3 linked regions of the Macaca mulatta genome follow. The protein of the gene in region 1 purifies or fractionates together with the protein of each later gene. This does not show direct contact. Links are inferred from orthologs where the notes say so. Each region holds a gene or a part of one and is shown on either strand. Other genes may lie near its edges.

Evidence for each region. Proteins that work in one complex are often made in the same cells at the same time.
Region 2: the proteins of RYK (region 1) and NCR3LG1 purify together in Homo sapiens (affinity purification with mass spectrometry; 3 studies listed by BioGRID and IntAct, counting the BioPlex papers as one, with this or other methods). This does not show direct contact. The link is inferred for Macaca mulatta from reciprocal best matches to the Homo sapiens genes RYK and NCR3LG1.
Region 3: the proteins of RYK (region 1) and PCDH7 purify together in Homo sapiens (affinity purification with mass spectrometry; 3 studies listed by BioGRID and IntAct, with this or other methods). This does not show direct contact. The link is inferred for Macaca mulatta from reciprocal best matches to the Homo sapiens genes RYK and PCDH7.

The regions. Positions count from the first base shown.
Region 1 is NC_133407.1:37,290,868-37,295,187, forward strand, and holds the start of RYK (tyrosine-protein kinase RYK), read right to left. Parts: upstream 2,927-4,320; 5' UTR 2,770-2,926; coding exon 2,535-2,769; intron 1-2,534. UniProt on the Homo sapiens protein: May be a coreceptor along with FZD8 of Wnt proteins, such as WNT1, WNT3, WNT3A and WNT5A. Involved in neuron differentiation, axon guidance, corpus callosum establishment and neurite outgrowth.
Region 2 is NC_133419.1:48,113,550-48,117,834, reverse strand, and holds the start of NCR3LG1 (natural cytotoxicity triggering receptor 3 ligand 1), read left to right. Parts: upstream 1-1,413; 5' UTR 1,414-1,527; coding exon 1,528-1,624; intron 1,625-4,285. UniProt on the Homo sapiens protein: Triggers NCR3-dependent natural killer cell activation.
Region 3 is NC_133410.1:29,848,829-29,853,034, forward strand, and holds the start of PCDH7 (protocadherin-7), read left to right. Parts: upstream 1-1,334; 5' UTR 1,335-2,402; coding exon 2,403-4,206.

The sequences.
Region 1 (4,320 bases):
ACTAGAAGTCTCTCTTGCCCCCCAGGGTAGACAAGGGAGTTAATCAAAACAATGCTTCCTACCCTCCCAGTAACAGTATTTCTGGGCATAAATTGGATGCTCATCAATCAGGAGCTTCCTCTGCTGCAAATATTGCTAAGAAAATTAGTTCCAGGCCAAATAAGGTAACAGATACATAACTCAAGTGCTAATTAGCAATGATTTATTTTCCACCATGCCATAATCAAACTTCTATACACAATATCTTCATTTCATTCAATAAAACTTTGCTGCCTATGTCAACACTGTTTCTTTTTTAAAAAAAAATATGAACTAGGCCAGGTGCAGTGGCTCACACCTGTAATCCAGCACTGTGGGAGGCTGAGGTGGGCAGATCACGAGGTCAGGAGTTCCAGACCAGCCTGACCAACATGGTGAAACGCTGTCTCTACTGAAAATACAAAAAATAGCCGGGAGTGGTGGCACGTGCCTCTAATCCCAGCTACTTGGGAGGCTGAGGCAGGAGAATCGCTTAAACTCGGGAAGCAGAGGTTGCAGTGGGCCCAGATGGCCCCACTGCACTCCAGCCTGGGCGACAAGAGCGAGACTCCGTCTTAAAAAAAAAAAAATTATGAACTGTGTGACCTTGAGCAAGTTACTTAAAAATCCCACTTTCCTCATCTCTACAATGGGAATAATGCCACCTACTTCACTGGGCCATGAGAAAATTAGAAGAAATTATGTGTATAAAGCATGTATAAAGCATGTAGGGGCAGGTATACGGCAAGAATTCAATGTCAGTCCCTGGTTGTCCTCTGTCCCCTACCTTCACCTCTGACTTTGTTTACCCATGTAAACAAACTCACAAGCTATATAAGTGCTTTTAACTAAAAAGCCTTTACAAAACCATGCATAATACGTTAATGTTTTTTTTCTTTTTGTGAGACGGGGAGTGTCACTCTGTCGCCCAGGCTGGAGTGCAGTGTCGTGATCTCGGCTCACTGCAAGCTCCGCCTCCCGGGTTCAAGCCATTCTCCTGCCTCAGCCTCCGGAGTAGCTGGGACTACAGGCGCCCGCCAACACGCGCGGCTAATTTTTTTTTTTTTTTTTTTTTTGTATTTTTAGTAGAGACGGGGTCTCACTGTGTTAGCCAGGATGGTCTCGATCTCCTGACCTCGTGATCCGCCCGCCTCGGCCTCCCAAAGTGCTGGGATTACAGGCGTGAGCCACCGCGCCCGGACAATACGTTAATATTTCTAAAATTAATGTGACATGAGTCGTGTTGTATTATTTTTCCTAAGTCTTAGTCTTGTGTTCCAAGTATTACCCCAATTAGCAGTTTTAATTCAGCTAAACTACATTCAGCTAATTCAACTAGACTAAGAAGGATTAAGAATGGCACGACTTACAGCATTCTTCTTTGGTTAAAAACTGCAAATCCGTACATGTAGTGTCTGAAGAGTCTGCTATAAGTAATTCCATTTCTACCTTGAGTCAATCTCAACACACCTCAACAAAGTCTTATTACTTAAAAAAATAATACTGACAAATGATGCAACAGAGAATAATTTTTCCCCTCAAACACTCAGAAGCACCACCTTGAGATGAAATAAAGATACTGCCATAATAACAAAAGAATGCAAATGTCTAGGTACCAAGGACTTTCTTTTTGGGGGGTCGTTCCTGTCAGATCTTCCTCTAAAGGGTCATTTCCAGAATCCACAAAGTCCTAACGTAAGACCCCAGCAATTTTTCAAATTAACTCCCCAAACAACAAAGCTAAGCAAGTAAATGGAACCACAGTCCGACCCAAGACTAAGTTCTTGCTTCCCTTCAAGGTATTCAAAGTAGGAGAGCGGCCCAGAAGTACAGAATCAGTCCAAACTCCCAACACACCCAATGCAAAAACCAAAAAGGTATTGAAACTAAAAAGGTCTGCTACCTGGCGATTCATTCACTAAAAATATGCTTAGAATCTAAGCATATGCTCCAAATCTGCGTCCCAAGATTTGGAGGCTGCCACGAACATTTGGTGCCCTTATAACCTCCCCCTTTCTCTTTTTTTTTTTTTTTTTTGTAAAAGGGTAAGCACAGACCGTGGCCTCTACTGGGGCATCAAAACCACAGCAAAGGGTTTGCAAGTTCAGTCTAAAACGTAAATTTCGAGGTATTCAAAATCGAGGACCCTAGAGTGACACGCATAGAAAGGGTCAAAAAAACTTCGTATAGCAAGGAAGAAAAGTTGTAAGGGCGCTTGACTCTTCTAGGGAAAAGGGCTAAGGAGGCAGTAAGGAGGATGGGATGGGGTGAATGTGGGTCTATCGCGGCAGGGCAGCGAGGGCAGCACGAAGGCTGAGCCGGAGCGGGGGACCGGGCAGGGACCACACCTCCCAGCCAGCACGGCAGGCAGAGACCCGGCCGCGAGGCAAATCCGGGCGCGGGGGGCGGGGAGGGCACTCGCCCGCGGTCCACGGAGCGCAGACTGAGCCGCCGGCGGCCGGAAGCTGCCCCCGCCGGCCTGACCTGCCCGCCCCGGCCTCGGCGGCCCCACTCACCGATCAGCCGGCGCACCTCGTCCTCGCTCAGGTAGAGACTCACGCTGGGCCCCGCGGCAGCCGACTGCAGCTCCGGGGGCCGTGGGGCGGGGGCGGCGGCGGCGCCAGGCGCGGGCAGTAGCGGCAACAGCGCCAGCAGAAGCAGCAGCGGCGGCGGCGGCGGCGGGGCCCTCAGGCCGCGGGCCCCCGGGAGGCTACTCCGGCCCGGCCGCCCCAGCCGCGCCGCCCCGCGCATGGCCGCCGCCGCCGCCGAAGAGGAGCGTCTGCCGCCCGCCGCACCGCCGCCCACCCCCGGCCCCGAGCCGCTCACAGCCCCGAGCCGGGGGCGGCTGCCCAGCTCATCGCGCCGCCGGCCCGTGGCAGCCAGCAGTGGCTTCAGACCTCCAGAGCGCGCCGCCGCCGCCGCCGCCTCCTCGGCGGCATCGTCCGGAGTAGGGGGCTGCCCGCGGAGACGCGCCCGTGCGCGCCGCCACCTCCCCGGGAGCGCGCACGCACCGTTCTCTCTGTGCAGGCCGGGCTGGGCAGCGCGTTGGGGTTTTAAAGTGCCTCGGCGGGCGAAGGGCTCGGGTCACCCTCTCCCCAAGAGCCGGTCCCGCCCCACGCGGTCACCGCGTCTAATTTTTGCTTGTCTATTGTCTAACCCTCCTTTCCCGACGGAGGGGCCAGGCTGGAGCCACCGGCCGCGCCTGCAGCTCAGTGGGCGCCCCAGGTCCCCGAAAACGCCTGGATGCGGCCGTTCTGGTTTCGAAAGAGCAACATGCTTTCCTGTTTAGTGGGAAAACTCAAATTATATAGAAACCATCCTTTGTCTTACCGTCGGTGATCAACTTTATCATATCCGTATCTATTATTAGAATTTATACTACGTACATTTGTTTTCCAGAAAGATCTTAGCACGCTTTAGTAACCCTATTTTTACATGTTACAAAATTTTATTTTTCATATTTTCATTTGTTTATTTTGAGAAGTCTTGCTTTTTTCAGTCGCCCAAGGTGGAGTGCACTGGCACAATCTCAGCTCACTGCAACCTCTGTCTCCTAGGTTCAAGTGATTCTCCTGCCACAGCCTCCCGAGTAGCTGGGATTACAGGCGCCCGCAACCATGCCTAATTTTTTGTATTCTTAGTAGAGACGGGGTTTCACCATGTTGGCTGGGCTGGTCTCGAACTCCTGACCTCACGTGATCCACCGACCTCAGCCTCCCAAAGTGCTGGGATTACTGGCGTGAGCCACTGCGCCCGGCCAAATTGTTATTTTTTAATAATCGTTCTGCATCATTATAATCCACCTGCCTTTGGGGTTGTTAATCTGTGGTCCACACCAGGCTTCGACAGCCTTCCAATAATATGAAATTGTGTGCAGAAGTGTATGTGTCTCCGTGTGTATTTGTGTCCACGTCCATGTTTCTGTGTGTTGTATGTGTGTTTGAGTGCACACAGAGAGGTGGTATGTCATCATTTGTTCTAGGGAGTCCTTGTCCCCTCAAAGAGGTTAAGAACTGCAGATAGACCTCGTGTACTTAAAGGCGGTGGAGCCGGCCAGTGCATGGACTTCCGGGCCTCCTGATGTATTTTTGTGAGCCGCCCACCATCGGGGTCAAACTTGCACCAGTGCCCCCTCTCTTGGTGAGGCTCCAAGGGCCCCTGCCCTGTCCGGGGACACCTCGTCCCGGCGGACAGGCCCCCGTCCTGACCCCAGGGCTCTCGCGGAGCCCGTGCCTCGGGGAGCAGCTGCTCTCACGCTAGGCCCAGCTTCAGCACGCTCGATTGCAGTGAGGCCCTGGGAAG
Region 2 (4,285 bases), on another chromosome or scaffold:
TGGAGTTTAGGTCTGTGCTTTTCTGTACATTACATCCTTTTTAATGATGCGAAGGAAAAATGCAGTAGGGTCAATGAGACAAATGGAATGCAGGTTGCTGGGGAAAGAATGCAGGTTGTGCGTTACAAATGCACACACTTTACAGTGCCACTTGGGTTCTGAACTTTGCGGTTAAATTGATTTAAAAACTGGTCTAGAGGTGGTAAAACTTAAACAGCCAATGAAAATATTTGGGTTTGCTTCAGGAGGTCGCAAACCACTTCTTGGTTAGTAGAAATGGGAAATTAAGGGCCACCTTCAGGCGTTTAACTGAATCGTCCTGGGGATTTAATTTGGCTTTCGACTCAATGCTAAGGTTTTGTTGCTTTTGGTTTTTAAAGTAATGTAAGTTTATCGTGCCAACGGTAAGATATCTCTCTGGACGCGTGCACCTGCTCTCGCAATCACTGACTGCGGTCAGCATCCTCCTTAGAGCAGCGCTCCGGGCCACTTGGATCCCGGCCTCAATTTACTAAGCGAACTCAGAGGATGCCCAGAGTCCTGGACTGCAGAGCCGCTCGCGAGAGGCACCGGGGCTGTAACCGCGCAACCTCGTGCCGTGGGCGGGGACGAGGGAGGCTTCTCCCGCCGGTGTGCGCCCTGGCGCGAAAGTGAGGCGCGGGCGGGGCTGGTCACGCGCCTGGCTTCCTGCAGTGCGAACCCTGGAAATCCCGGAGACTTCGCAGTTGCCGAAGGGACCCGAAGAAGTGGGATGTGCAAAAGCGCCGGCTGGAAATCCCGGCTGTGTCTCCGTCAACTCTTCACGCAACAGAGGGCTCCCCCGGCCCTTGGTTTTTACCGGGCCGCCTGGTCCCACTCGGCGAAAAAAATTCCAGAGCTGCTGCCGTGGCGATGGCGTGGAGGGCTGCCTCCTCCGCGTGCGCGGCGCCCCTGCTTCTGTGGTGCGCACTGATGACCGCAGGTAGGGGGCGGCGGCGGCTGGGGTGGGCTGGGGCGGCGGCGGCTGGGGTGGGCTGGGGCGGCGGCGGCTGGGGTGGGCTGGGGCGGAGGCGGCTGGGGTGGGCTGGGGCGGAGGCGCCTGGCGCCAGAGGGTCCTTGCGGTTGGTTCCCTAGCGCCCCTCCAGGGGACCGCGACGTCCTGGGGGCTGGGGGCTCTATTTTCTTTTCTTTTTCTTTTTCTTTTTTTTTTTTTTTTTTGAGACGGAGTGTCGCTCTCGCCCAGGCTGGAGTACGGTGGCGCGACCTCGGCTGACTCCAAGCTCCGCCTCCTGGGTTCACGCCATTCTCCTGCCTCAGCCTCCCGAGTAGCTGGGACTACGGGCGCCCGCTACCACGACCGGCTAATTTTTTGTAGTTTTAGTAGAGACGGGGTTTCACCGTGTTAGCCAAGATGGTCTCGATCTCCTTGACCTCGTGATCCACCCACGTCGGCCTTAAAAAGTGCTGGGATTACAGGCGGGAGCCACCGCGCCGGGCCTGGAGGCTCTATTTTCAAGCGCCCCTCCTTTGTGAGATGCGGAGTCCCCGATGCAACAGGTTGATATTGAAGGCCTGCCCTGTGCAGGGTCGGCACCTGTGCGAGCGGAAACGGTGCTTCCTTGGATGTCGCGCACTCAGTGCCTCGGTAATCTGCTCCTCTCTTGCATCATCCAAGGGGTCGGAGCAGAGAAGAAAATCAGGGAATGGGGAAAATAGGAAAATGATTCACCCGCGTATCAGTGGGTCCTCCTGGCTTTGCTAAGTAAGGTCTTTATTGAGAGAGGGAGGGGAGTGTTTTGATCTTGAGGTGACCTTCAAAAGTTCTCTTACTTTTTTGGGAACTCGTATGGGAATGTTCTGCGTTAACTTAAACAGGATACTACAAGGCTGAAACGCGTATGTAGAGATATTTAAACTCATTTCTAACTAGAAGAATGGCAATTAAACAACAAGATGCTGCTTGACCCTTACTAGGCTGGCCACAATACGCTCCTGGGTACCAGGTGCTGGAGGGGGAATGTAGGAATCCCGGAGGCGCGCTCTGGGCGCCCCAAGTCACTGCAGGTGGAGGCGAGCCGCGTGTGGACCTCACCGTGGAGCGCTGGGCGGCAGCTTCACACCACGCCCTTGCTGCTTGCCGAGCAGCGTGAACGGATGTTGAAGGCAAAGAGCCAAGCAGTGGACATACAATGTAATACCCTTTCCACAGTTTGAGAAACAGAAGATACAGCCTTAAAGAGAACAAAAATGTATGTTAAACACCTTAGAATGACTGCCCAATGGGAGAGGGAAATGAAAATAAAAACGAGGGAATAGCATTTCTATACATTTGCAATGAGCAATGTGAAAATAAGACAGTTCCGAGTGAAGTGTGGGCGGCGACGAAAGCCAAATTTGCGCTGGACTCGGCGCTGGTGGCTGGAAGCGCTTCCACGCCCTCAGTCTGGGTCTCCTCGAGCTCGAAGTGGCGCCTGGGGGCTCCCGCCGCGCCCACCCGGTCCCGGGCCCGGCGCCCCCTCCTCAGGAGCCTCGGGTGCCAGCCACTTTCGTCCGGTCCTCGTCCCCACGGATGCTGGCGGTGGTGGAGAAGGGCCGCGCGGTCTCTGGGAAGCGGAGAGGAAGGAACGCCCTTTGGCTGTGCGGCGGCGCTTTAGTGGCAGCAGCAGCAGCTCCTGGGAGGAAGCTAATTCGGGCTCGTCCAGCCACAAGGAGTGAGGCGACCGCTGCATGACGGTCGGACCCCAGAACCAGGCGTTGGTGCTGGACTTCGGCACCGGAAGACACTGTGAAATTGAAAACCATCGGAAGCTTTCGCCTAACAAATCATTTCCGCCCACAAGAAATCCCTACACCTTAGAATGGAACATCTATTTCCCGGGCTGTTATTCTGTGTGGAAGCAAATTTAAAGTGGTACAAGAAAAAAAAAAATCCAATCAGACAAAGGAATTCGTCAGATTTTAATGCAAGATATTCTAGCCCGTCTTTGTATGAGACTGTCTTTAAAGGTTGTTGATATAGAAAATGTTTTAAAGAACGTTAGGTTTTATTTCAGAAATGAAGTTCAAAAGAGCAATTTGTAAAGCTGTAGTTAACAATCCTCCCTGGTTGGAGGACTCTAGAACGGGAGATTCTCTATGCAGGTTATACCACTAGTTGATTTGAGAAGATAAATGCATAGATGCTTTTCCTTGGAAACAAGACTGCAGAAAATTCCAAGGATCTAGTCCTTGAAAAAGGGGAATGCTCTTAAGCTGTTATTAAGGTACTAAACTCTGTACCTTTAAATGAAAATACATGGAGGTCCGGGGTGAGCGCTTGGGCGCTCTGAAAATAGACGACGTTTCCCAAATTTGCCTTCTAAATTTTGATTTGTTGATTTAAATCTTTTAAATTTATGTAGTCTGGCACTCAGGTTTGTATTCCTTTTAAGCACATGTTAGTGTTTTGGTATTTTCCCCTCCCCCTCCGACCCCCCAATTCTTTTTTTTTTTTTTTTTTTTTTTTTTTGGGTAGTCTCTTTTCATTTGTAAGAGTGACAATAGAACTAGGTGGCCTGGCTATTTCTCTCGTATCCTTGGCTCCTCCATTCTTTGGTTGGCCACCAGGGGGAAGCATACTGTTTTTTGGTTACAGTTGACCCTATCTTCATTTTGTAGGTCAAGTCTGTTTTTGCCTTGATACATAGAACATAAAGCTTGTCACCATGTTTGCCTAATGTATTATTTTTAAAAATAGACTTGCACAAACCTTTGAGTAAGTTGGCAGGTTTTTGGATACATTTTTTGTTAACATTAATTTTGAAAACTTTATTTAGATATGTTGGGTGTGACTAATGAAAGGACATGTTTGATGGCAACAAGGGGAATTCGGTTTCTGACATTTATCTAAATATTGATGTCTAGCTCTGCATTGTTAGTAATGAGTCTGACTTCTTTGGAGTTGCACTCTTCTTTGAAACAGCAAATGTAATATTTTGAACTGTCCTTGCACTTTTTGTTGGATTGGTGTAAGCGTAAACTTGCTGGCAACCTACTGTTCTAAAATAGAAAACATCTAGCCAGTCGCAGTGGCTCATACCTGTAATCCCAACACCTGAGGAGGCAGTGGGAGGATTGCTTGAGCCCAGGAGTTGGAGACCAGCCTGGGCAACTTAGTAAGTCTCCATCTCTACAAAAAATCAAAAAATTAGCTGAGCATGGTGGCATGTGCCTGTAGTCCCAACTACTTGGGAGGCTGAGGCAGGAGGTTCACTTGAGCCTAGGAGGTGGAGGCTGCAATGAGCAGTGATAGCACCACTGCACTCCA
Region 3 (4,206 bases), on another chromosome or scaffold:
GCACGACGACAGGAATGTCAAGCATTTAAACAAAGACAGGCATCCTTCCCCCCCCTCCACCCACCGCCCCCCGCCCCCCCCCCCCCCGCAACCATCCAAAGTCTGAGCTCCCAAAAAAGGATCTTTCTCCCGCTCTCTGGAGTTTGATGTTCTCTCTTCACTACTGCAGCCCGTCACGGTTTTTCAGAACAGAGTGGCTTTCTGGGCTCTTGTGTGTTCCCCAAGACCCCGATAACCATGTCCTAACCAAGATGCTAAATCGCGAACCGGAGACACTTTCCGGGTGGAGGGGGTGGGGGGAGGACGTCGTCTGAGAGAGAGGGAGAAGGAGAAATCTATCCTGACACAGCTCGAAAAGCTCTCACGCGTGAACTGGGCATTAGTTAAGGGAGGAGGAAATTTACCAGCCCGAGGGAGGGAAAACAAGTCCCCCAGAGAAGAAGACGGAGGTACTCGCTGGGGGGCGTTGAGCTTTGGCTTAAAGAGGTCTGGCTGGGATTGGGCACACTTTGAGCGGCCCCTGGAGCTGAGGCTGGGCTTTCCCGAGCGCGGAGGCTGGCTGACGCTCCCTCCCGCCTCCTTACCCCGGGCCCTCCTCCCTCGCTCTCTCCCTGTGTGTAGTTTCGGCGGCTGGGCAGCTACTGCCGCCGCCGCTGCAGCAGCAGCGTCAGGGACAAGCCTGATCCGTGAGCGAGCGAGCTCCCAGCAGCAACCACCACTTTGGGCAACTTGCGGGTTTCCTGCTCGCGGGTAGCGAACGGGAGCTTCCTACTAGCGGTTCAGTGTCTCCGAGCCGCTGCAGCCTGAGTGGCGGCGGGAGCGCCCGCACCAGACTCTCCCAGACGCGAAAGGGACGAGACAACTGCGGAATTCACCAGCCGTGCCAGGGCACTTCCGAGGCCACAAACGACTGGCACTTTTTCTCCCCTTGGCAAACTGGATTTTTTTTTTTTTTTAAAGCTACTTGGCAGCTGTCTCTGACTCCACCTCCCCTTCCACCCCCGCCCCAAAGCCTTTGGCTTTTCTTCGGAAATCCAGACAGAATTGGGCATCTTTGTTAATTGCCGTTGGGGACGCCTAGCCGTGCGCTTTCGCCGGCTAACGTCGCCTGTGCTCCGAGCCTGGTTTGCTCACCTTTGAACTGCAAAGGGATCAAGTTCAGCTCGAGTTCCCTGCATTGGGACTAAGAGGAAGGAGAGAGAGCGTGCAAGAGAGCGAGTGGGAGAGGGGGAAAGGGGAAAGGAGAGGAGGGAGGAGAGAGAGGAGGGAGGAGAGAGAAAGGGAGGGAGGGAGGGGAGGGATCGAGAGAGAGCGGGGAGAGAGAGAGAGAGGCTGCAATCTCCTCCCTGAATCGCGCACAGCGCTGCAGATCCCACTGCTCCGACATGCGGGCCGAATGCAGGTGAGAAAAGGCACGGACTCTGCGGCTGCGAACCCAAACTTGGGCACCGCACGGTGCGCACGGCTCAGCCTTCGCCCCCGCGGGCGAAAGGCTGCTGCGGTTTCAGGCGGCGGCTTCGTGACTAATGACCTTGCGCAGAGTTGTTAAGAAAAAAGAGAAACCCGCGCTCTCCGGGGTGAGAAGGGACTGACTCTCTGGGCGTCTCTGAAGATGGCTCGGGCTTCTCTTTGGCGCGCCGGGGGGACCCGGACGCGGACCGCGCTGTGACGCGAGTAGTCTCCACTGCACCGTGCCCGAAGCGACGTGCCGGGGGATTTTTCATTCTCTATCTGTTGACTGGCTCCCCCGCTGCCTGAGCAGAGTCGGAGTTGAGACTGGCTTGTTGCTGGCCCCAGCGCCTGGTGCAGGAAGCGACTCACGTTTGCCTGGGCGGCCGGAGTCGGAGCAGAGCCTGGGTTTGGAGTGAGTGTCTGGAACGTGAATTGGACTCAACTCGAGTAGCAGCAAAGACCGGCGGGCTGGCAGGCGGGGGAGGCTGCAAGCTCGTTCCCCACCTCTTCCCAGCCCCACTGCCCGTCTGCCGGAGCAGTTCTGGCCCCTTCCGACAGAGCGGGGACGAGAGCCGGGGATTCTCCGCCCGCTGCGGGAATGACTCTGGGTGGGGGGGCGCCGAACCCGCGGCGCGCAGTGTCCCGTGAACTGTGAGTACTGCGACTGAACGGCGGCCGGCAAGCGGGCGATTAGCACCCATTGCATGAATTATGAAACAATAACTTTCGGAAGAAGCAGGAGAAAAAAAAAAGCATCTATCGCTGCCCTCCCACCTGCATTCCCGGCCGACTCTCCACGCCGCTTTTGCCCCCTCCCTCCCCTCTCTCTCGCTCCTTCCTTTCCGGGAGAGGGGAGAGGACTGGGAGGAGGGCAAGCGGCCGGCCCCGGAGGAGGGGGGCGCCGAGGGGGCTGTGGTTAGAAGGAGCAGTAGCAGCAGCAGCAGGAGAAGATGCTGAGGATGCGGACCGCGGGATGGGCGCGCGGCTGGTGCTTGGGCTGTTGCCTCCTCCTGCCGCTCTCGCTCAGCCTGGCGGCCGCCAAGCAGCTCCTCCGGTACCGGCTGGCCGAGGAGGGCCCCGCCGACGTCCGCATCGGCAACGTGGCTTCAGACCTGGGCATCGTGACCGGATCGGGTGAGGTGACTTTCAGCCTGGAGTCCGGCTCCGAGTACCTGAAGATCGACAACCTTACGGGCGAGCTGAGCACGAGCGAGAGGCGCATCGACCGCGAGAAGCTGCCCCAGTGTCAGATGATCTTCGACGAGAACGAGTGCTTCCTGGACTTCGAGGTGTCGGTGATCGGGCCCTCGCAGAGCTGGGTAGACCTGTTTGAGGGTCGGGTCATCGTGCTCGACATCAACGACAACACGCCCACCTTCCCGTCGCCCGTGCTCACGCTCACGGTGGAGGAGAACCGGCCGGTGGGCACACTCTACCTGCTGCCCACCGCCACTGACCGCGACTTTGGCCGCAACGGCATCGAGCGCTACGAGCTGCTCCAGGAGCCCGGAGGCGGCGGCAGCGGCGGCGAGAGCCGGCGCGCCGGGGCGGCCGACAGCGCCCCCTATCCCGGGGGCGGCGGGAACGGCGCGAGCGGCGGCGGCTCGGGAGGCTCCAAGCGGCGGCTGGACGCATCAGAGGGCGGCGGCGGCACCAACCCCGGCGGCCGCAGCAGCGTGTTCGAGCTGCAGGTGGCGGACACCCCGGATGGCGAGAAGCAGCCGCAGCTGATCGTGAAGGGGGCGCTGGACCGCGAGCAGCGCGACTCCTACGAGCTGACCCTGCGGGTGCGCGACGGCGGCGACCCGCCTCGCTCCTCGCAGGCCATCCTACGGGTCCTCATCACCGACGTGAACGACAACAGCCCCCGCTTCGAGAAGAGCGTGTACGAGGCCGACTTAGCTGAGAACAGCGCCCCGGGGACCCCCATCCTGCAACTGCGCGCAGCTGACTTGGACGTGGGGGTCAATGGGCAGATCGAGTACGTGTTCGGGGCGGCCACCGAGTCGGTGAGGCGACTGCTGCGCCTTGACGAGACGTCCGGCTGGCTCAGCGTCCTGCACCGGATCGACCGCGAGGAGGTGAACCAGCTGCGCTTCACGGTCATGGCCCGCGACCGTGGGCAGCCCCCCAAGACCGACAAGGCCACCGTGGTCCTTAACATCAAAGACGAGAATGACAATGTGCCATCCATTGAAATCCGCAAGATTGGGCGCATCCCCCTCAAGGACGGGGTGGCCAACGTAGCCGAGGACGTTCTGGTCGACACCCCCATCGCTCTGGTGCAGGTGTCCGACCGAGACCAAGGCGAGAACGGGGTGGTCACCTGCACCGTGGTGGGCGACGTGCCCTTCCAGCTCAAGCCAGCCAGCGACACCGAGGGCGACCAGAACAAGAAAAAGTACTTTTTGCACACCTCGACCCCTCTGGACTATGAGACCACCCGGGAGTTCAACGTGGTCATCGTGGCGGTGGACTCAGGCAGCCCCAGCCTCTCGAGCAACAACTCCCTGATTGTGAAGGTGGGAGACACGAACGACAACCCGCCTGTGTTCGGCCAGTCGGTGGTGGAGGTTTACTTCCCTGAGAACAACATCCCGGGTGAGAGGGTGGCCACAGTGCTGGCGACAGACGCAGACAGCGGAAAGAACGCTGAGATCGCCTACTCGCTGGACTCCTCTGTGATGGGGATCTTTGCCATCGATCCCGATTCTGGGGACATCCTGGTCAATACGGTGCTGGACCGCGAGCAGA